4 linked regions of the Caenorhabditis elegans genome follow. The protein of the gene in region 2 interacts with the protein of the main gene of each other region in a pairwise test. Each region holds a gene or a part of one and is shown on either strand. Other genes may lie near its edges. The genes, in order: C04F5.8, nhr-111, gls-1 and hrpc-1.

Region 1 (4,456 bases), about 11 Mb from region 2:
TCCCGGTGTATTATGGGGACGCAGAAAAATGCGTTTTTTGAAATTGAGGTGCAGTAGCGCTCCAAGGGCGCATGAAAACTCTCACTTTTTATTATGGGAACACAAAGTTCTGAGACTGCGTATTGCGCATCATATTTGACGCACAAAATATCTCGTAGCGAAAACTACAGTAATTTCTTTAAATGACTACTGTAGCGTTTGTGTCGATTTACGGGCTCGATTCGAAATTAAAGCGAAATATCGCTGACACTATTCGAAAATAAATTCATCTCTAAAATCGAGCTCGTAAATCGACACAAGCGTAGTCATTAAAAAATTACTGTAGTTTTCGCTACGAGATACTTAGCGCGTAAGATATATTGTGCAATACGCATTATTAGAATTTTGTGTTCCCGTAATAAAAAATTTAAATGTCTCGTTTGCCGCCATTTCCTAACGAGACCCAATGCTCGGTTGTCATTTGGCGTTAGAGCGCCTTTGCACCCTGATTCCCTCGGCGTCCCCATAATATTTGAATTTTCGAAATTTATTAAAATCAAAGAATTTATTTTTTAGAAAACTTAACAACAAGAAACAATCATAAAATTGGCGAACAACAAAAATCACTCTGGAACCGAGTCCCCGTGAGCTCTCGAATCCCGTACAATATACTTGCAAATCGATGCCATTTCCTCATAGATTTCCGAATCATTGGCTCCATATTCGAGACATTCAGTTGTGGTATTCACAAATTCAAGCCAGTCCTCAATGTCGAATGAGAGATCCAAGTGTTCCGTGATTTTTTCGATTGGTGGATGATGAGCGAGTACTGTTCCAGGGCGCATATGAGTATGTAGGAACTCCCAGCACTCTTCTTGTTCGGTTTTTGATAGGAAGAACGAGAAGACATTGTTCATCACGATGAATTGATTATCCTTGAAGACGTGGGCGAGGTGGCGGATATCGTCGCGCAGGATTTCAATGTTCTGGAAAAAATAATTGTAAGTTTAGAGGATTTGACAAATTTCCACTTTAAAATTTTCGAAAGCTTCTCAAAAAATATTTCGTAATTTCGTTAAATTTTGACCTGCTAGTTTGAAGGCACTCGCTGTTTTCCGCGCGGGTCTCGCCACGATCACAGTCAAATTGGTCGCTGAAGGGGTCAAATTTTATAGATTTAAATAAAATCGATTTGTTAATTTTATGCTGTTAAATTTCACATTCTGAAGTGCACAGAGAAAGTGTGAAAAACACAATATCTGGTCTCGACACGAACATTTTTTTGTAAAATAAATAAGGTGTGCGCCTTTAAAGAGTAATGTAGTTTCTAAATCTTGTTTCTGCGGAGTTTTTATTGATTTTTCGAAGTTTTTCTTGCATTTTTATTGTTTTTTCTGAATTTAAAAAATACATAACTATATTTATATCGAAAAGTTGTGAAAAATCGATGAAAATTCAAAATTACAGTACTCATTAAAGGCGCACACCTTTTTGCAATTCACAAAAAATTGTCGTGTCGAGACCTGTTACCGTATTGTTGGCAAAAATTTTACTTTTATTGCATAAAACTAAACCTTTAATCCGAATTGACGAATAGTCCGTAACGCGAGAGCAGCATAGTCCGAGTCCATTTCAACGCCGATTGTGCTCACATTTCCGTTTCTAAAAAAAAAAATGGATGTTTCTTCAAATTTAAATATTACGGGATCACAATACAACATATTTGACGCGCAAAATATCTCGTCGCGAAAACTACAGTAATTCTTTAAATGATTACTGTAGAGCTTGTGTCGATTTACGGGATCTCGATTTTCGAAATATTATCGACAACGATTTTTAATTTTCCTTGCAAAATTTTAATAAATAAATGAATAAATCATTTCGAAAACCAAGCCCGTAAATCGACACGAGCGCTACAGTACTCATTTAAAGAATTACAGTAGTTTTCGCTTCGAGATATTTTGCGCGTCAAATACGTTGCTCAATACGCATTCTCAAAATTTTGTGTTCCTGTAATATCAATTATTTTCCACAATGCTCACGTAAAAATCGATGCTCCATAAACAATAGCTCCTAATCTGCTCCCAATGTCCAGTACGTGTTGGCATGTTGGCGGCATAAGTAGATCAAAAAGGAATTTGACTTGAAGACGGCTCAAACTGTGACTAATGAAGTTTAGAGGTACAGTATCCCTCGAACTGCAAACCGGACAGTACGTACGGCTGAGCTCATCTCGTTCCACCAACTCTTCCACGTCATCATCTTCATAGAGAAATGAGTCGACTTCGCACTGGAAAAATAACTTTTATTGTTTGAAATTAAATGTTCAATCCGTGAATTTGTAAAAAAAGCAAAAAAATAGAGGCGGATCATAAATTTGCAACCCTGCGGCACGGTTTTTTCACTGCTTTTTTGTTGGTTTTTTGTTTCAATAAAGTTTATTTTTTCGAGAATTCACCGTATTCAGCTCAGTACAATCGCTATCAAATCCTTCAGTAGGCCATCTCAACTTGCTCGGAGCTTTCGACGGAACATCGACAGCTTTATCTCTCAAATAGGCCGCTATTCTGTCAAGTTTCCGTGCTCCTCTGTCCATCATTTTCTTTTTTTGCTCATTTTCATAATTAAATGTAATTTCGCTCGATGGTGTGCTCTCCACGTATTTGGCCAACCAATCCTTAACCTCAATAACTTGATCTATTTCGAGTTTCGAGAGAAGCTGACGAATTGATTCTTTGGCTTCTCTGGTTTCACGAGCTTTCGAGCCATCTGGCTCTTTTGAAGCCATTCTGAAAAAAAACGGAAATTTAAATTTTGAAAATTGTATTTATTACGGAAACACAGAATTCTGAGAATGCGTATTGCACAACGTATTTGACGCGCGAAATATCTCGTAGCGAAAACTACAGTAATTCTTTGGATGGGTTACTGTAGCGCTTGTATCGATTTACGGGCTAGATTAATAGTAAGCAAAATATGAGAAATCATTCGGAAAAGCAATGAAAAATTGAATTTCACCCTGGGAATTCATTCCGAAAAAAATCGAGATCCCGTAAATCGACACAAGCACTACAGTAGTCGTTTAAAGAATTACTGTAATTTTCGCTACGAGATATTTTGCGCGTCAAATAATACGCATTCTGTGCAAATACGCATTCTCAGAAATTTGTGTTCTCATAATAAAAAAGTGATCTAAAGCTCGGAGCGAAGCGTTTTCAATTAGCGTTGAAGCGCGATTGCAACTCGATTTCAAAAGAAACAATTTTTGAATTTTCTGATTTTTTCTTAATTTTGAAAAAAAAATTCGTAAGAGCCAAATTATTATTTTCTAAATTTTTTGTGATTTTTTTTCCATTCCTGCAAACTAAAAAATTTTAAAAAAGGGCTATTTTCTGGATATTTTTATTAATTTTTTTCTCATTTTTTCATTGTTTTTGTAATTTTGAACATTGTTTGTCAAAAAAAGTTTAAAAATAGATTTTTAGGCGAAATTTATGGTTTTTTTTAATCGTAAAAAACTATAAATTTGTTCTAAAAATCGATAATTAAACTTTTTTCAGGACAAAAGAAAAGAAAAAAAACAATGAAAATATCCGGAAAATGCCTATTTTTGGTCTGCAAAATTGGAAAAAATCGCTGAAATTTTAGGGAAATTCTTACATTTTTTAAACTATTTTTTGTCGTTTCGAGTAAAAAAACTATTAAAAAATAGAAAAAATAATAATTGTGATCGGATAAGAGACACGAAAATAAAAATATTTTAGTTCAAGAATTTAGAAAAAAAATTTTATTTAGTAATTATGACAGAATATGTTAGATTATTATTCTTCTCTTTCCAGAACCGGCGGATCACCAAATTTTTTCGGATTCTCACTAAAAAAGGTTTTCAGGCTTCCATCAGGGTTCCGCAACATTGAATATTCCATATCTGTGAGTAGAACATGCTGTTTCAGATTTCCGTGAAGTGTCACAATATTGTTCTTCTGTTTCTTCACATTTCTCGATACATTTATTCCATTATTCTTCTCCAAATATTTGCCCATTCGATATTCTTGTCCACTTGAATCGTAGAATTTTGCCTCTTGGAATTTGAAATATGGGAGAAGTGAGGTGGCAGTGATTGTCAGTTGATTACGATGAACGGGGGGCTCCCTTTGATGGACAGTTTGTTCGTGTTGATAGAGGAATCGAGACGATTTGAATGTTATTTCTGAAAAAATATAATAGTTCAAATTGCCGGTATTGAAATTTCCGGCATGTCGGCAATTTGCCAGAATTCAAAATTTCCGGCAAACCGGCAATTTGCCAGAATTCAAAATTTCCGGCAAATCGGCAATTTGCCGAAATTGAAATTTCCGGCAAATCGGCAAATAGGGCAAATTGCCGGAATTAAAAATTTCGGCAAGTCGGCAAACTGCTGGAATTCAAAATTTCCGGCAAATCGGAAAATTGCCGGAACTCGAAATTTCCGGAATTG
Region 2 (4,195 bases):
GATGAAGGGTAAAACTCCAAGCCAAATCCGAACCCTCTTCAACATTGAGAACGATTTTTCCGAGGAGGAACGGGAGGCCATGAAGAAGGAAAACGCTTGGTGCGAGGATTAAGCTCCCTGGTAAACATAATTAACTTGAACTTTATCTGATTCGGTTTACATACCTCTTTTATGTCACTTAAAACAAAATCAAAAATTATTTTAAACAAAAAAAAACTTTGTCTGTCAAGTACGCTTTACATTGCTTCCAACAAAAAATATAATTTAAATAAATGTATAACGTCTGTATATTGTGTAGTTTGTTCATTGTGTATGAATTTACCATTTGCAAAAAAAAAAAACTTTGGCGGCCAAATTTGCAGCCAACTACTGTTTTGACTTGTAAAAAAACTGTTCAAAATCGTTGTAACGTTTTTGGAAGTATTTCAACTGATCGAGAAGAAAATTGTTTAAAAAATTTGGTTGCCTTGGGGGAATCTGGAGAAAAAATAGGAAAGAAATTTGGGTTTGAACATTGTTTTTGAGGAAACAGTTGCAAATTAAATGAAAATCTCTAAGCCAGGACCTATGCCAAGGCCTAAGCCTTAGCCTAAGCTTAACCGTAAGCCTAAGTCTAAGCTTAAGCTGAGCACTACTAGTGAGCAAAATGGGGGTAATGTGTGCATATAACAGCATCAGAAAAATAGTCAAAATTTAAAGAAAACTAATCACAATCTCACAAGCTTTAAGATCCAGGAGAGATTCAAGCTGTCTAGTAGAATAGGATTTAAGCTCGCCGAGGAGAAATAGAAGCCTTCCAGATTTGGACTTTGAAGACTCCAGGTGCAACTGATTGAGAAGGCCGATACAGATATCAAGTTGGCGATCGAATTTGAGATCAGTGCCATCTTTGGCTGAAATTTTAGTTTCTGAAAGCTCAGCAGCTTTTCTAGTTAAACTTACTTTCCGTGAAAATAATAATTCCCTTCAAGAGGAAATAATCCTGCGCCGAAAGTTCGAGGGATTTGAATTTCTCAGCCAGTTGTGCAAATTTTTCATCGATGAAGATTTTTTCGGAGTTTTCGAACAACGCGAGGCACAAAAGATGTGGCCACTGGGTCAGTATGATCTGGCTCTGGAAATTTTTTTAATGACTTTTATGTTTGGCATTTAGACCTTTTCAACATCGGAAAGCACTGCGAAGAGCGAAAACTGTTGCACCCACTGGAGTGCGTTTTTCAGATGAACTAGCACGGAGCTTGTGTCCTGAAATTAAATTTGTGGTGTCTCAGGTTGATAGTTTGTCTCCTGATTAACTAACAATTTCATGTTGAGCATGTTCGTGTTGGAATCTGAGACGATCAGAGTGAGTAGGCAGAAGTCCCTTGGAATACTCTCGGAATGAGGGCAACTCGACATACTCTACAGTGTAGCTATGGGAAGTTCTCTCGGGTTGCACAGCTGGAAAATAATTATTTAGAGACGAAACTGTGTCGCCTTCGCCGGCTTCAGGAGGCTTCTGCCGGCCTCAGGCCTTTGTTAATATGGTGCGGCGCGAAACTCAAAAAAATGTCGGCCACTGAAAAATACCTACCGCACTATATGGTGCAAACACAAAGTTAATGATCTGAAGCCCAAACTCAGAGAAGCAGCTTACCATTCTTATTCATCCCCTTCTTGAAGCACTTTTTAATTCGACAGGACTTGCACCTGTTCCGGTTCGCTTTATCAATCACACAGTTTCCGTCTCCATTCCAACATCCATGTACCAACTTGTTTCTAACGGTTCTTCTGAAGAACCCACTGCATCCGAAACAGGTTGGCACACCTAAAATTCATTGTTATCTAGTTTCTAAATCTTCTTTCCAACCGTAATGATTTCCGTTAGAAGTGTCCCCACAAACTGCACAAAGCGTGATTGGAAGAGTTATGTTGTTTTGCGCGGGGTCATTTACAATCTGCGGTTGGATGACCAGAGGCACTGAAAGTTATAGATATGCGTGAAAGATTGTAAATCTTCTGTCATAAAACTTTTGAACTAAGTAAATTGAGAAGCTGATAAGTGCGGTCAAGTTTTGTAAGCTTCTGGTTTTTCTACTTACCGCCCGCAAACCTCTGTCAGGTTATAACGTAACTGGGATCTAAATAATGGAAACATAGAATACATTTTTGAGATGTCAACAAGTATAGTACAAAAATTGCTATCAATCTGTTCGAAAATGTCAAAAAAATTCCAAAATCTAGAAAACAACGTTGCAAGTTTGTTTTCGACTTCTAAAAATTTTCTGATATATTTTACCAAATGCTTTCATTTATACATTTCGGTGAGTTGAGTAATTATCTAGTTAAAGCATGAAAAAATTTTTCGATCCCATAAATTGGGGCATACCTGTTGAAGTTTCCAAAATGCCACCGATTGACTTCGCATTTTGGCTGCTCATCTTTTTTTGTTAAATATTCTCTCGTTGAGTAAGTTGAGAATATCCTGTCAGTATCTACAATAATAGCATAAAAATAATTTGGTTACTGCTCAACTTCTAATCACGACTCCTCCCACTTGACCTGTTGGAGGCAGCCGGCTTAGTACAAGAAGGATAAAGTGACAGTTAGAGAAACGAGAGAAAAGGTGCCAAAAGTTGAGCAGCAATCTCTCTAAAATTTTTTGCAGATATACCATACTTCAGATCACTTGTGTATTTAAAGTTGAAATCAATCAGAAGCAAACATTCACTAGGGAATGATCGAATTGAAATAAAATTTGGACTATAAATTGTTGAGTCATAGAAATGCGGAAATTGTCCGCTGGAAATATATGATATCACATTTTCTGAAAGCGGAAATTTTCGTAATATATGTCATTTTTCATTTAAATACTTTTTCATTTTAAACGAAAAATGTCTTTAAGCTAACCTAGCGCAAAAGATGGTGGAAAAAAAACTGAGATCTTCATTGAAAATTTCAGAATATTCAGATTTCGATTCAGTTGTATATTTAATTAAATTCTGAAATTTGACATACATTTTCCAATTACGTACTTTTCAGATTTTGGTCATTTTCAGTTAAATGCAATAAAGATATAAAACTGTAAAACCTATGTATAGCATCTAGTATACTCGGAAACAAGTATTTTCTCACATTCAGTTTCTAGTCAAAAATATCAAAACGCTCTCAATGTGAAGCACAAAAGCCCAGCAAAAAATTGACTGAACCGCACCAAACACATCTAAAAAATGCCTACTGCTTCCTAGCCTACACATGTGCTCACCATTTCCCGCAGCTATTCCTTTTTATCGAATCGTACGTCGTTATCCGTCACTGTGTTTACACAAGTCTAATTTTTCAGAAGAGCATATTAATCATCATTCCATTTTTTATGGCTCCCTACTGAATGGGGTGATCAAAAACTGAAATTATGCAAACTGCAAAATTCTACTTTTGACCTGAAATTCGAGCCGTCGGTCTGTCTCAAATTTATTCAATACAAAAACTTTTAAAAAAAATCATATTTTTTAAAATTTAATTTCAGTCACTGTCCACAATCTTCTTTTTTGTCAATCGAAAGTGTTCTGTGCTAAAGTCCAAGATAAAATCTGTGCCATTCTCGTTATAATCAATTTTGGCCCGTTCTTCTCCTTCGTAGTCCAGAATGAAAACTCTCACTATTTCGATAATGTTGGTTTCGGGGAACTTGAAGCACCCGTTCTCGAAGTCCACTGATTTTGTGAGCAACTGAAAATAATACTTGGATTTTTTTTCGATTTTTTATTTAAACTTACATCTCTCAGTTTTACTGCATCCTCTTTTGAAAAGCAAGGTACAATTACATAGAACTCTCTGAAATGGAGCATATCCTCGACAGAAACCTTATAACTCTTCCAGAACGAATCAAAAACTTGTGCTCTTTTCCATTGCTCAAGTTTAGCGATTTTCTCGAGATCTGTGGGCTCATTGGAAAGCAGCTCAATTTTTTCAAGATATCCAGCTTTTAGGAAAGGGATCACTAATAGAAGCTGCTCCTCGGAGAAATCTGTCCCATGAAACTTTTTAACGTGTAGGCAAGACATGGAGGATTTCAAAACATCAAGAAGAGTTGAAAAATAAGTCCCAGTTTGCTCAACATCAACAGAAAGCTGAATCGGAAATTTTTCCAAGCGAAGTGCCGGATTCTTCATGATAATTCCAAAGTCATTGAAAGCCACATCAACAGATTTTGCAC
Region 3 (7,932 bases), on a different chromosome or scaffold from region 2:
CAATATATTCAAATTTGTCTGTAACTTTCTGAAATTTGCCTATTTTCCAATTGTTCATCAAGCCTTTTCATCCTCAGGATCATCTGATTTTTCTTTTTTTACCTTTACTTCCCGAACCCTCATCCAAAATTGTCATTTCCTGCCATTTTCAGTTTTCAATCGATTCTAGAAAAGTGTCCATCGGGAACATGACGTAACAAGGTCCATTCATTTTTTTTTCTGAAACAACTTACTCCATTTCTAAATAATCTTCGAAAGTGGTGATTTTAATAATTCATTCCGTGGTTTCAATTTGTAAAATCCCGATTATAATTAATTCCAAATGCATTTTCTTAGTTGTCGCATACTTTAAAAACTGTTCAATTATTTCATTTGTATTTCATTTTTAAAAATGTGTAAAATTTTATGTTAGTGTGAGTCATCATTTCACGAAGCGATTCTCGAATTTTTTGTATCCCAAATGTTGTGTTTTTCTCCTCTATCAGCATAAAGTTTTGTAAATATTTTTTTAGTTCCACCGTTCATTTCGCACCTAAGAAACAATTAAAATAATTGGGAAAATGAAAGAAAATTTAGAGGGAAGAGAGAGGGAGAGAGAGATAGGGTTACAAAAAAAACAAGAAATCAACGATATTATTCTTGAAGGTGGAAGACGGGGTGGTCAAAAAGATATATGTATATATAAACAAAAATATGTATAAATTAAAAAAGTGAATACCTAAACGAAAGAGAGAAATGACCAGCATTTTGAAATATAGAAAACAGAAAAAATTGAATAAAACTAATCAGGTGGTCTTGGCTTGTGAATTATGAAGAGAAAGAGAACGTTTTTCGAGACTTCAGTGATAATTTGTTATAGTTTAAACGAAGTTGTACCACGTGTACGTACCTAACGAGAAAATGTCGCTTTAAGGATGATGATGGCAATCGGGATGTGATGGATCAGAGAAATTCAATAATACACGTGTCGATGAAAATTAAAATGTGTGAGCGTTAAACATAAACAATGAAAAAAAAATTGGGTGAAAGAAAGAACAAAAAAAGAAGAAAACTATTACGAAATCACAAGAATTGATATAAAAAGGAGCAGCAATTCAGCATCTCTCAGAAATTCGAATTCTGGTTCCCGCCCCCACTGTTTCCGTTGACTCCACCAGTATTATTTGAGTTTTGTACAGTTCCCTGGGCATGATAGTATGCTATCGGAATTTGCGGTTCATATGTTCCGTTTGCACGAAATTGTCCACCTGAGAAATTATTGTGTCATGTTGAATCAATTATTCTAATTTTTAAAAGTTTAATACATACCATTATGGAATATAGTATTCTGAATTATGTGCTGTTGTTGATGATGATTGAAGTGATTTGATCCTAACATTGCTTGCGGATTTTCAATGTATACTGCATGGGGGAGGTTTGCATGAATTGGAGCGTATGAATTGGAAGAGGAAGTTCCACCATTTTGCTGAGAACCTTCCCCGTCTGAACGAGTTCTATGATCACCTTAATAATTGATTATTCTCATTATTGCCATCTAATTCAACTTGTACATGCCTTTCTTCGATAACAATGTTTGTTTTTCACAGTGTTTCGGAGCGTGAGGACCGCCACAATTAGAGCAACTTGGGAACAGCGTCTAGAAATTGAAAATTTCTCAGATTTTACGAAAATTCGAAATCAAACCTGCACTTGTGTTTGCGGGATATTTGAATAAAGGAATGGTTGCATATTGACAGGCAATTCAATCGGGTCAATGCTTCCTGTTGCATTTCGTTTGAAGTAACGAACTGGAGATTTGGCACGTGGATTCTTCCATCGAGAATATATTAATCCATCCGATGCTTCGCGAGTTTCCTGCAATAGCTTTATTTCGGAATAGATTCGTTCTTTTCAATCAATCTAGAAATGAACAGTATCAGAAACTAACATCTTCTGTTTTCGCTCTGGTACCGTTGAACTCTTCACATATTACAGCTGACAGCATCATTCTAGCTGGCAAGTCAGAAAGTTCATTGATGTATTGAACATATTGAGCTGGAGTCGCATCACGAGCAAGACGTGGAACAATACGCTCTCCGTTTGGAGCAAACGCTGCAAAAATAAAAATTGTAAATTAGAGACTATAAATTGAAAATACATACTCTCCATTGTAGATGTGCTCGCTGAAAGCTTTTTGTTATCATCGTCAAATGAAGAGTAGGATGTAGTGCATCCTTGATGAAGATATTTTTCACTTCTCTGTTGTCCGAACTCATCAAGAAGACGATGCTGTAGAGCTTTCAATTGATCACGAGATCTTTGAGCAAATGTTCTGTCACCATCACTCCAATGAATCTGAAAACCTTTATGATTTCAGAAACTTCAGGTTGCGTGTTACCTCCAGGCTGAAAAGATTATCGTTCTTCTCAATTTGTCGTCCAATAAATCGAATGATAAAGAATGTTCCCGGAACTGATGGCGACGGCTGAACTGGATTACTCTCGAAACGCGAACCTGAAAAAAAGATGCGGAATGTTATCAGTGATTTAGTTGGAATGTTCCGAACTCAATTCATCGACTAATTATCGAAAAATTTCTAGAAATGCATGTGAAAAATTCTGTTAAATATTAATTAATTGCTTACCCATAACACCTGATAGTGGCTCAAATTCTTCCTCTGATTCATGGTCGGAATCAGTATCATTCTCATCGCCAACAGCTTGTGATGATGGTACAACAAGATTGCTTTGCTCCAACTGTTTCTGAGTTGTGTAGTATTGTCTAAACAATGTTTCTATTTGAGCACGTAATCCGTCCCGCAGAGCCGCATATTTCATTTTGTCATCAAGAGTAATTGCTGGGTGATGAGTCATGGCTGCGACTGAAACAAAAAAGTATACTCCAAAACACGGAAATGAAGACTTACCAATTTTACCGATTTCTTGTAAAACGGTAATTTTATCAAGTTCATCCGGAATACGTTCGAGTATTTGGCTCTTTTCTCTCAGAATAACATTTTGAACATAGTCAGAGATCTTTAAATAAATCGATTAAATACCATCTAAAGTCGTATTCTGATTCACCTTAGCAGCTGATTTTCTATTTGTTGATGAACAAACTGCCATGAGAGTGTATATGTAACTGGTAAGATCGAGAACAGATTTGAGAAACAATTCTGGTTCTTGAGGGACCGGTGGTACCGACTGTGGTACAGTCACTGAAGTTGGATGTGCAGGGTTTGCTGCTGTGGTGGAGATGTGATTAGAACCGGGCTCCGGTTCTGGTGATGTTGTATTAGATTGGTTGATATTGCCGCTCGAACCTGAAAAATGTTGCGAATTTGAGAGGGAAATTGTGTTGTAAAATACATTTTTTAACTGTGTCAAATAATGATGAAGATTTTTTACCTCTTGCAGTATTTGGTTTGGAATCTAGCTGTTGTCTATCTGATGGAATATTATTGCTTATTCCGTTCACACTACTTGATAGCACAACTGGTACATTGTTAACATCCTTATTTGCAACGGAAACTGATGATGAAGGTGTCGTACAAGAGGTTGAATGATGAAAGTTAGCATCAGGTGGATACATAATATTCTGCCTGAAATAAAAAATTTTTAAATTATAATTCACCGACAATAATGCATACATTCCGCCTAATAACGGTGGAAGACCAGGTGGATGTTGCTGTACAAAAACCGAGTTAACTGCATTTCTTGTTTGATACAGGGCAGCATCCGCAATACCAGGAAAATAATAAACTTGTTGCGGTGGAGGTGGAGGAGAGCAAACGAATTGAGGTAAACCAGCTGTTGGATCCGAACAGTTTGAAGTCTTTTCTACTGGCCGCATTTGATTGTTATAGCAACGAACAGATCCTTCGATACAATTTCCAAGCAGGCGAAGATCGGTTGGAGACAGGAAAGAAACAAGTTCACACATAAACTCCACCTTATCCCATTCATCGTGCTGCAATCCAAACTACGTTTTGAAAACTAATAACTTTTTAAAAATTTTGTTTGAATAAAAATGATAAATACTAAAATGTCTTGTATTTATGAATCACCTCTTTGAATGCCATCACAGAATCCATATTTTTCGGATCAGTGCTCTTATATGGCATCGGCTCTTCATCACGCTTGATTTTTGGTTTTTCCTTCTTCTTTTTTGCTTCTTCGACTGGTGGATCTGTTTGAACTATTTTGGATTCTTGAAAGATGGGAATAGCAGTCGGAGTTGTGCTCACTGGAGGAGCAGAAGACGCTGATATTTGTCCCGCAGAGGATAGGGAAGAATTTGACAGAAATCCAGAAGATTTAGCATTTTCCAACGAGTGATAATTATTGTGGTTATGTGTGTAGCCACCTCGATAACTTTGGTTCGAATGATCACGATTCTTAACATTAAAATTAATTTTTATCGTAATTATACGTTTATACAAACCTTATTCTTTCGGTTCTGCTGATTTCCGCTAACATGGTTTGAATGATGATGATTATGGTTAACCTGACTTTGCCTATTACCACTGTGAGTGTTTCTGAACGAGCAAAAGCTAAGGATTTGTTTTAACTAGTTACTGATTTAATTACTTCTCCTTTTCCTTCGGCCGATCTTTATTTGTGGTTCCTTTGAAAGCACCCGATTGTGAATTAGCAGTGTTGCTTGTCTGCAAGTGAATCATAAACAGGTTGAGAAAACATGTGTTTTAAAATATGAAATAATTATGCACGATAGACTCAGTCGAATTTATCTTCGCCTACTTACCTTCTCAAGCTCGTTGTGCCCAGCCTTTTTGGCAGGAAATTTAGAAATTCCAGTTTGCTGTGACGTTGAAGAAGTCGATGAAAGTCTTTGATGTGAATATTGATTTTGAGATTGACTCTGCTGTGAAGAAGGTACTGTAGTGGTCGTAGTGGTAGTTGAGGTGATGGACGATGTAGACGTCGAAGCGTCTGAAATGAATATAAATAAATTCTATGAATCTTGAGAGTTGAATTTTCTTTAAATTTACATTGTTGCTTACCGCATTTTAGAGACCCTTTATGTTTCATTTTAACGTTTTCTTGAGAATTTTGTTGAAGTATTCCAAAATCAGAAGAGAATACATAGAAATAATAGGACATTGAATATATATATATATATATATATATATAAATCAAATTCTAAAATTAAATCAATAAATATGAAATGATTAATATAGACGTTCCAATCTAATTGTTAAAATTTAGATGCTAGAAAAGTCATTGCTTATCACTCATCACATCAATAGGGAAATCAAATGTAATAGTTTGGGTTATAATAAATAAATCGACTTTCGCACCTTGATGCTTATTGAAAAGAGAAGAGGAAGAGATGGAAAAGGGGCATCGTGCCTGTGTTGGTGGCCTCTTTCTCTTTTTTATTTTTATTATATATGTTTGCCCTCCTCGGTTCTGTACTCGTCTATTCACTTTCTTTCTTTTCTTCGGGGTCATTTTTTAAGCACAGATTGTGAAGACCAAGGTCTCCAAAATCTCGATTTAAATGAACCATTGGAAATTAAGACACAAAATTTTGAATTAATTTGCAATTGCTGCAAGAAAATTCTAAAACCTATTTAGGAACAGCCGTCCTTGTTATTTCAAAACAGATTTGTGAGAAACGTGTATACGTACTATTGCTGGAAGTGTTATCGTTGGTGACGCTATGACTGGAATTGGAATTTTGTCCAATTTGTGATGAATTCTGAGTTGTTGCAGCGGCAGTTGCTGTTGCGTTATTCCCGTTCATCGTTGACCCGTCTGTACTTTTCTTTTGCTGATGGTTCTGAAACTAGGGAAAAATATGTCGAATTTCACTATCTTTATCAACACACCTTTTTATTGGCCATACTTTTCATCAAAATACCAGTTAACCGAGACTTCTTACGCTTTTCTTGAAGAGTTAAAGCTGTGACGTCTGAACGGATAAATTTTAAAAAAATAAGGAAGGAATGAAATAAATAAGATATCAAACATCGCATACTTACGATGAATTACAAAAAGTTAATAGTAATAAGAATCATGTACAGATTTTATATTTACACGTGAAAATTGTGGGCTGCCCGAGTAAACAACAGGTGAATGAATACATATAAATTAAAAAAATAAACAGCAATTTCAAAAAAAAATTCAGTGGTTCTCGACAACCTTCCATTTGCAAAATTCGAACTTTAATCCATTTTCTTCGAAAATTTCTGAATTTTCCGATGACACCTCGGCATTTTGAACTTTCTCCATTTTACTGAAATCGAGTGACTTGAGATGAACATCGGCTTCGAAGCTGAAATTACGACAGAGTAAAAAAACTGTGCAAGCACCCTACTTTTTGAAAATACGTGTCAAGTGAATTTCATCAACCAAGTTTTCTCGCAACGCAAGATCATAGATTTCAGCTCCACCGATATTCCAGATTGTTTCGATCGAATCCACAAATGGTGGCTCCGAAAGTAGTTTCATAGCCGCTTCGAGCGAGTTTCTGAATGTAACAACAACAGGTTAAATATTATTTCATGACAGCTTACACAACAATGTAGTCATCGGACTTTTGCGCAGGAAGTTGTCGGCTCAAAACAATGTTTAGCCGTCCTGCCAACGGGCGGCGAGTTACTGGAATGCTTTCCCAGCATTTTCGTCCCATGAGAACTGCATTTCTCTACAAAAGTTATGTTACAAGTTTAGTTAGAAATCTCGAACAACCTTCGACTGATCAGAAACATTTTTGGTAACAGACGCGAAATACTGCATGTCTTTCTTGATTCGCCATGGCAACACGCCATTTTTGCCAATTCCTCCTTCGGCATCCATAGCCACTATTAAGTTCATTTTTCTCATTTTTAATGCCTAGAAATAGAAAATAACTCGATTGAGATACCAGAGAAAATTTTAAAAACGGGTAATGAGAACTTTGCACAGCAAAACGAAGCACATTTGAAATACGCTTCCATTCGACTTCGTATCGACTGAAATCTTCAAACAATACAGATTTCGAAGATAAAGATAATGAATCGTGGGAAAATCAATAAAAATAGATAATCAAAAAAAAATGAGGGTGAAAATGAATCGAGAAGAAGTGAGAGAACCTCAGATTTCTTCAAATTATCATTAGAGCGCGATTACTGGTTCCCACTTTCGAAGAATTTTCACCGCTTTTTTTGAACTTTTATGCCATTTTCTTTCCTTTGTTCACTTTAAAATGTTTTAAACTTCACAACTAAATATAATAAATTATAATAAAACTACAAGCCCATTCCTATGTCTCACATCTTCGTTCTGAATGTCCTAATATATAACTTCATATTCTTTACAGTGGTTTTTAAAGTAATTAAATTTTTTAAGAGCACACAAAATGGCTGAAAATGGCAATTTTGCTGTTCCAGCACCGCCAAGACAGTTTGGATCACTGGCGAATGCAGAAAGCGTGAATGCAATCTTGGTATGTTTTTTTTCATGAATTCTTTGACTATGTTATTTTTTCTGAATTTTAATTTAAAATTTCAGAATGCACAACAGCAAAACCATGGACCCACAGTGTCTTTGGAACGAATGGAAGTATCAAATCAAGCAGATTCACGCCACGATGCTGAAATGTTTGCAGAATTTGATAGAAGACGGAGAGCAAGAACTCTCACATTGCCAACAGATGATGTTCAGGTACAGTTTTGATACATATGAATAAAATTTTTTTAATAACTACCCACTTGAAGATATATTTTAAAGGTAAAACTGAAACTTCGTGCTCTAAACCAACCAATTTGTTTGTTCGGAGAAGATGCATTGGATAGAAGAGAAAGACTTAGAGCTCTACTTTCAACAATGTCTGAAGATGAAATTGCAGCCGTTTTGCATACTGATGAAGTAAGTTTTTCAATGTTTGAAAAATTATTTAAAAATTTGAAGGTGAATGCTGATAAAGCAGACGAAGAAACCGTTACTT
Region 4 (5,887 bases), on a different chromosome or scaffold from region 2:
GTGGCAAACAAGCGTAACTAAATTTCGTTTTTTTTTTGGGGGTTCGTCAGAAAAATATTTTCATATTATGCTAGTGAGCAAACCAAGGGAATTGGGTATAACGGAAAAAAATAAATATATTTCTCAAACCGACGAATCAAATCGTATTTGTTGTGGTTAGTCAGTAGTGATGGGGGACATTGAAACCCATCAACCGGTTCTTTTGATTCGATGGTTTTTATTTAGGTGACAGAGACGGAAAGCTGTGTCATCGATGATACATTAAAACATTGACCCATCTGTGAGAGACAACGAAGCATCAATTACGAAACAGTATTAATGTTAACTTGAAGAACTATGTAAGAAGCTCATTTTAAAAGAAAAGCGTTTTCTTTTAGGGTTTGCACAAACTTCAAGGAGATTCTAAATAAATTTAGCTTTCCACAGTTTGATTGTAAACACTTTCTTGAATAATTGTTAAAAAATTAAATCAGATGACTTTTAAAAAATTGAACAAGGTAATAGGAGCTTGTGCTACCTGCGTATTCAAACTTTCTAGTGTCTGTTTAAAGCAAAAATAAAACTTCAGAGATTGATAAATAAAAGTTCACAAAAATGTATAAGCGTTTACAACAAAAAAGTAGTAGATAGATAAATGGGAAAATTGAGATTCAGGTATGATTTCAACAGGATTTAGCAAAAATATTTAGATTTGGGGAGTTCCATTATTCGACGAGTAGGACAATGGCGCGCCTTCGACGATATGGTGAGATGGTGTGGAGTTGGCTGAATTTGGAGCAGCAGGAGCCGCAGAACCAGAAGCTGGAGTTTCTGGAATCGAAGATGGCGTTGAAACGGATCCACCACGCATTTGAGCAAGATCATTTGGCTGAAAATTTGTTAATTAAAATCGATTTATGAACACATTCTTATGTTTTTCATACAAACTGTTCATAGAAAAAAGTTCTAAATTATCTGTCCAAAAATATAAAAATTTATCCTCCACTATTTGGTTGCTCATAACGTTCACATATTCACATGATATAGTTATTCTTAAAACTCTAAACATACCGTCATCTTCTCTTCAGTATAGAGCAGCATACGATGAAAATCGGTTAAATGTTCGAGAAGTCCCCACGCGCCGAGGAATCTCTGACTACAAGTGGCACATTTGAGACGATGTCGTGGTTCTTCTGGAAAACAAATTATTGAGATGAAGTATTCAAGTAGAGAGATAACTAAGAATTGAATTTCATACTTCAATCTATATACAACGTTTTTTTAAGTATCAAGTTAACAAATGAAACAGTATGAAATTAAATCCCACCTGGATCCTTGTATTTATTACAGCCAGCGATTCGATGTTCCTTGAACTCTTCAAAATCACTTGTCACGAAACGGCAATATCCACACACCATTGTGTCGCACATTTCTGTAAATTAAAAATGTTTAACCTATTCGTTTCTTACTGGAAAAAATATCAATTTTAAATATGAATTTAATTTCTCTGGTTTTGGCGGATACTTTGATTTTTTGATTCAATCAACAGAAAAATATATAATTTCATCAAAAACTTGTTGAAAAATTTGAAACCAATGTTTCCAAACCCAATAAATTTTTTAAGTTTTAAACTCTCACCATTCGGTGCCAACTGCTCATTGATAGTTGTATCTCCATTTGCAAACTGCTTATTTCTTTTGTTCTGCTTGAAGATCTCGTACTCCTCGTCTTCATAGGGGCGTTTGGCGCTGAAAATACAAAAATTAATATTGTTGGTACCAGGGGTATGAAAGAACCGTATTAAATGGTTTCAACGTTCAGCGAAAATCGCTTTCCCTTTTCAAATTTCATGATTTATCCAAAGTTCGAGTTTGTCCTCGAAATTCGAATTTTTTTTTTTTGAAAACTGAGCACACCGCAGTAACAATCCAACTTACACAAAGAGTGAAACGCCATCGCATTATAACGTTTTTCTTTAGAAGGAAAATATAATGAAAGGAGAAAAAATGAAATAATTCGCTATAACTTTTAAAAACCATAATCCTCAAAACTATTTCGAAATGAAAAATAAAAAGAATAAAAAACCCAAAATGATGAACCTTTGCGCGGAAGTATCGACAGCATGTTGTGTCAACGGTTTCCCAACAGGAAGTGGGGCCGGAGCAATAGTATTTCCTTGGCGACCCTCGTTTCCAGTTGGCTTTCTCAATGAGCCCAACATTGCCAAATGAACATCTGAAATCGGGGACACATAAATAAAAATAAACAAATTTTAAAAACTGTATAAATCGAATAAAAAGTAACTTCGAAAATGTTTCTAATGAAAACCGAAAATAAGAAAAGGTAAAAGAAATTATGAAAAAAGTTGAAATAAAAAGCTTTCAGACGAGAAGCTATTTGAGCTGCAAAATTCGCCGATTTTTAATTTTGGTTGCATTTGGAGAAAAATTATATTCAGATTCAGGTCCTTACCAAGACAACAAGCTTTCCATGACATCCCATTGAGTGAACGGCATGACTCGTCGGCACTACCAGCTTCATTGAATTGAACAAATCCGAAACCTTGTTGCTGAAAAATCAGGAATTTATTTTCCGGCAAAAAAGTGAATTCAAAGTTATGTCATCAATAAACTCGGACTTTGCGGTGGCTATTGAATATTCAGGAATTAACTTACAGCAAAATAATTAACAGCAATTATTTTTCCAAATGGACGGAACAGTTCGATGATATCGTCACGCGTGATAATAGCACGGGCAATGTTTCCAATGAAAACACGAGCTCTGTAAAAAATCATTATAAAAACTAAAACGATACACGATTTTTCGTTCGATAATTTATATAACATATTCTTTAACTTTGTGTGCAGTTATGTTTACTCTGGAAAATGAATAAATCCCCATTTTCTCTCTATTCTCTTTACTCTTTCATGGTCACTTTGTGTCGGTCTTTTGCTTCAAAAATGTTTACTTTCCCACGACCTTTCTTGCATTTTTTCCGTTCTTTTCTCTCATTTTCTTATTTCATTTATCAAATTTACGTTCAAAACATTTATTTTCGTACCTGATCATATGAGGATCCTTAGATGATGTATCATAACTGATATCGCTGTTTACCGCTGCGCTTCCAACTCTGAAAGTTTTTAGGATTACGCTGACGAAGCTGATTTTTTTTTGTTTTTAACGAAAAATCTATTTTTTGGTTTTTTTTAAACCAAAAAACCCTTTACGTACTTCAAACAATTTTCATATTTTACAAATATGCTTTAGCAAAATGTGGTTTTTCATGGTTTTCAATAATTTTTTTCTAAAAAGTTCCAAATAAATCGAAATTCGGTGTTTTTTTACAAATTTCAAATTTTTGTTTTTCGGTCCCGGTCTTGCATCTCATTTAGTTCTTCTTAAATCTTAAGTAAGTTTACTTAACGTGATTCGGCTAATCCAATTAATTTTAAACAAGACAGTTTTGAAACGAATTTTAATGTATTAAAAAGAAAACTAACAGATTAAGAATAGTGCTGTATGGAGCACCAGTTCCATCTTCTGAGAATGTTGGTCTTTGCTCTCCGTAAACTGAAGTTGCGGGTATTGATGCAGCCAATGCGGCAGCAGGAGTTGTTGTTGTCTGGGCACCTCCAGCACCTCCATAGTATCCGTACTGACCGTATTCTGAATGTTTTAATTGGTTTTTCAAGATTTTTAAAAGGACAATGTAATTTCTGATATTCTATTCTAGAATTAATTATTAATCAAATCAAATTTTAACATCACTCGACTATCTGGCAGTTATTTAATAGAATATCATATTACATCGGTATCGCTTTTCCCAAAAATTTCTAAACAACTCCAATTCCGCTGCCGAAGTTGCCTACTTATTCTCTAGTTTATTTCTCATTTTGCATTAAAAACACTAACCAGCACTCATTTTCCATTGATTCTCTGAAGTGTTCGGGATGAATGACGTTTATCACTGAAAATCTTCACTAAAAATTTAAATAATTGAGAAAATTGAGCAAAGTTTGAACATAACGGTTAAAACACGAACATAACATAATTGGAAAAGATTATCGATCGCATGAGTGGTTCAGAGTGGGAAGAGGTGACAATGGTTTGAAAATGAGAATAATGGGAAGAGAAAATCAATCATAATGCGCAGACAGGGTATGTTCATTCCTAATGCAGTAAATTTTTTGTTTTTTTCCTAAAACAGAATCCCACCTTGAGGGGTTTTTAAAAATAAGTGTAAATAAAATTTTCAGAACCAATATTGAAAAGGTATTTCTATTTTTAAATTTATTTTGTGGGCTGAAACAAAAATTGTACAATGTACAACAAAATTGTTTAAAATTTTTGATTCTGCATGCACTAGAGGCACTGAATATCACGACATTTCGAATTTCAGTTTTTATTCGCCAATTTTTCTTGTTTCCTCGAAAAAACCAAATTAATCTTTAAAAAATTGGTATTTCTTTCCTAGCGTTTCGGCATATTGCATCTCATTATGATCTCTTCTTGTATCTTTTTCAAATGCCACCACCTGGTGATAGACTCTTTCGAGAATCTCTCCCCGTTCGCATCCTTACACAAAAACTTATGCGGCTCATTCTTCAGTGGTCCGATTGGTGCATTCGGCGAACACTGATTGCTCCCTCTGTGTGCCTTTGTAATAAAAAACTTTTCGTTGTTAAAAAGAAACGTTTTTTGTCGTTATCTCGAGCTTGGCAAAAAAAGTTAGATTGCTTTTTTTCCGGCCACAATACTTGTTTTTTTAGAAATGGTTACATCTTCAACACCCAGACGTGGGTTCCACATACCGACCACATTAAATCACGAATCCCTTATGGTAATTTTTAAATCGGAATTTTTCTCATACTTTATAATTTATTTTTAGGCTCAAAACTCGCCAATATCGATGAGATATTCAGTATCATGTGGTGGTGGGAAGGGAATTGGAACTACTGGAACATATAGCGGAGCTGGGGGACAAGTTAGCGATAGTCACCCATCAGTTCTCGATTTGAACAGCGAAAACCGAGTAATGGACCGAAAAACGGTAAGAAAAGTTTTTTTCAATCTTTCTATGCATGAAATTGTGTTTAGGTTCACTGGAATATGCTTCTCCTCCTCTTCATGTCAGTTTGCTCGGCATTATTCACCGTTGTTGCTCTACAATTCCACTTTTCAAATGCCGAACGATTTCTTCGCACCGCAAAATCACCGGCATCGGCATATCGAGGAGTAATCGATGTCATTCGGGATGTCATCGCCTCATTCGACGTGGCAATCGTGATTCTGTCGATTCTGGCATTCTTTGTGTCTGCTCTTCAATTACTATTCCTGATGAAGATAGTAAAACAGACACAACAACCGGATGATATTGATGTGTTAGTGCTTTTCAAAAGTTTCACATTAAATAGCTTGAACATTTTAACATTACAGGGCACTTCGATACATCAAATCAACCAGCTTTTTAAGAATTGTGGCATTCTCGTTTTGGTTCGCATCAATAATAGTCTTCGTGATCGGTGAGTTTCTTAAATACTATTCATACGCGATTATAAAAATTCAAAAGAATGAATTCGCTAGAATACAAGAAACAACTCTGCAATTCTAATATTTTCAGTGCTAATGCTCACAGTCTCAATTGACCCATCGCGAAGTTTGGCCTCAAAATGTGTATCGATTACTTTAGGATCTTCCGCCGTCTTTCTTGCCACTTGCTTCGCCGTGAAAACCCTCTATTTCTGGGCAAATCATTCTTGTGGGCACGTCTACCGCGAGGATTGTTACAATTACCTAAGCACACTGGTCTGAATGTATTATTTTTATAGCTTGTTATTCTACCCACTTCTATATTGAGCTTTTTCATCACGCAAAGTTTCTCAAAATTGACACCAATGATCTGATTTAT

What was found.
Region 1: the proteins of nhr-111 (region 2) and C04F5.8 interact in a two-hybrid assay, tested with the Caenorhabditis elegans proteins (one large-scale study listed by BioGRID).
Region 3: the proteins of nhr-111 (region 2) and gls-1 interact in a two-hybrid assay, tested with the Caenorhabditis elegans proteins (one large-scale study listed by BioGRID).
Region 4: the proteins of nhr-111 (region 2) and hrpc-1 interact in a two-hybrid assay, tested with the Caenorhabditis elegans proteins (2 studies listed by BioGRID).

The regions. Positions count from the first base shown.
Region 1 is NC_003283.11:5,110,987-5,115,442, forward strand, and holds C04F5.8 (tRNA (guanine(46)-N(7))-methyltransferase), read right to left. Parts: upstream 2,769-4,456; 5' UTR 2,768-2,768; coding exon 2,438-2,767; intron 2,270-2,437; coding exon 2,022-2,269; intron 1,642-2,021; coding exon 1,554-1,641; intron 966-1,553; coding exon 603-965; 3' UTR 532-602; downstream 1-531. Other genes in the region: C04F5.9 (C2H2-type domain-containing protein), read right to left, coding at 3,801-4,189.
Region 2 is NC_003283.11:16,122,362-16,126,556, forward strand, and holds nhr-111 (Nuclear hormone receptor family member nhr-111), read right to left. Parts: upstream 2,479-4,195; 5' UTR 2,421-2,478; coding exon 2,369-2,420; intron 1,961-2,368; coding exon 1,850-1,960; intron 1,808-1,849; coding exon 1,637-1,807; intron 1,441-1,636; coding exon 1,301-1,440; intron 1,246-1,300; coding exon 1,156-1,245; intron 1,115-1,155; coding exon 943-1,114; intron 894-942; coding exon 694-893; 3' UTR 534-693; downstream 1-533. Other genes in the region: skr-3 (Skp1-related protein), read left to right, coding at 1-112; fbxa-143 (F-box domain-containing protein), read right to left, coding at 3,502-3,708, 3,756-4,195. UniProt on the Caenorhabditis elegans protein: Orphan nuclear receptor.
Region 3 is NC_003279.8:8,735,120-8,743,051, reverse strand, and holds gls-1 (Germline survival defective-1), read right to left. Parts: upstream 5,981-7,932; coding exon 5,834-5,980; intron 5,785-5,833; coding exon 5,634-5,784; intron 4,932-5,633; coding exon 4,744-4,931; intron 4,646-4,743; coding exon 4,569-4,645; intron 4,517-4,568; coding exon 4,423-4,516; intron 4,376-4,422; coding exon 4,046-4,375; intron 3,949-4,045; coding exon 3,629-3,948; intron 3,581-3,628; coding exon 3,387-3,580; intron 3,302-3,386; coding exon 3,063-3,301; intron 3,015-3,062; coding exon 2,906-3,014; intron 2,861-2,905; coding exon 2,624-2,860; intron 2,494-2,623; coding exon 2,378-2,493; intron 2,335-2,377; coding exon 2,142-2,334; intron 2,092-2,141; coding exon 1,928-2,091; intron 1,864-1,927; coding exon 1,684-1,863; intron 1,637-1,683; coding exon 1,555-1,636; intron 1,504-1,554; coding exon 1,309-1,503; intron 1,248-1,308; coding exon 1,105-1,247; 3' UTR 504-1,104; downstream 1-503. Other genes in the region: dhfr-1 (Putative dihydrofolate reductase), read right to left, coding at 6,129-6,279, 6,322-6,474, 6,521-6,651, 6,696-6,830; prp-4 (Pre-mRNA processing factor 4 (PRP4)-like domain-containing protein), read left to right, coding at 7,345-7,431, 7,497-7,649, 7,716-7,853, 7,896-7,932. UniProt on the Caenorhabditis elegans protein: Required maternally for germline survival by forming a maternal complex with gld-3. During hermaphrodite development forms a complex with gld-3 which promotes the sperm/oocyte switch freeing the translational repressor fbf to turn off sperm promoting factors.
Region 4 is NC_003279.8:6,924,323-6,930,209, reverse strand, and holds hrpc-1 (RRM domain-containing protein), read right to left. Parts: upstream 3,954-5,887; 5' UTR 3,902-3,953; coding exon 3,892-3,901; intron 3,646-3,891; coding exon 3,480-3,645; intron 3,110-3,479; coding exon 3,041-3,109; intron 2,761-3,040; coding exon 2,655-2,760; intron 2,549-2,654; coding exon 2,452-2,548; intron 2,215-2,451; coding exon 2,079-2,214; intron 1,728-2,078; coding exon 1,618-1,727; intron 1,412-1,617; coding exon 1,307-1,411; intron 1,173-1,306; coding exon 1,051-1,172; intron 869-1,050; coding exon 686-868; 3' UTR 545-685; downstream 1-544. Other genes in the region: C48B6.9 (uncharacterized protein), read left to right, coding at 4,751-4,819, 4,868-5,029, 5,077-5,360, 5,416-5,501, 5,600-5,790.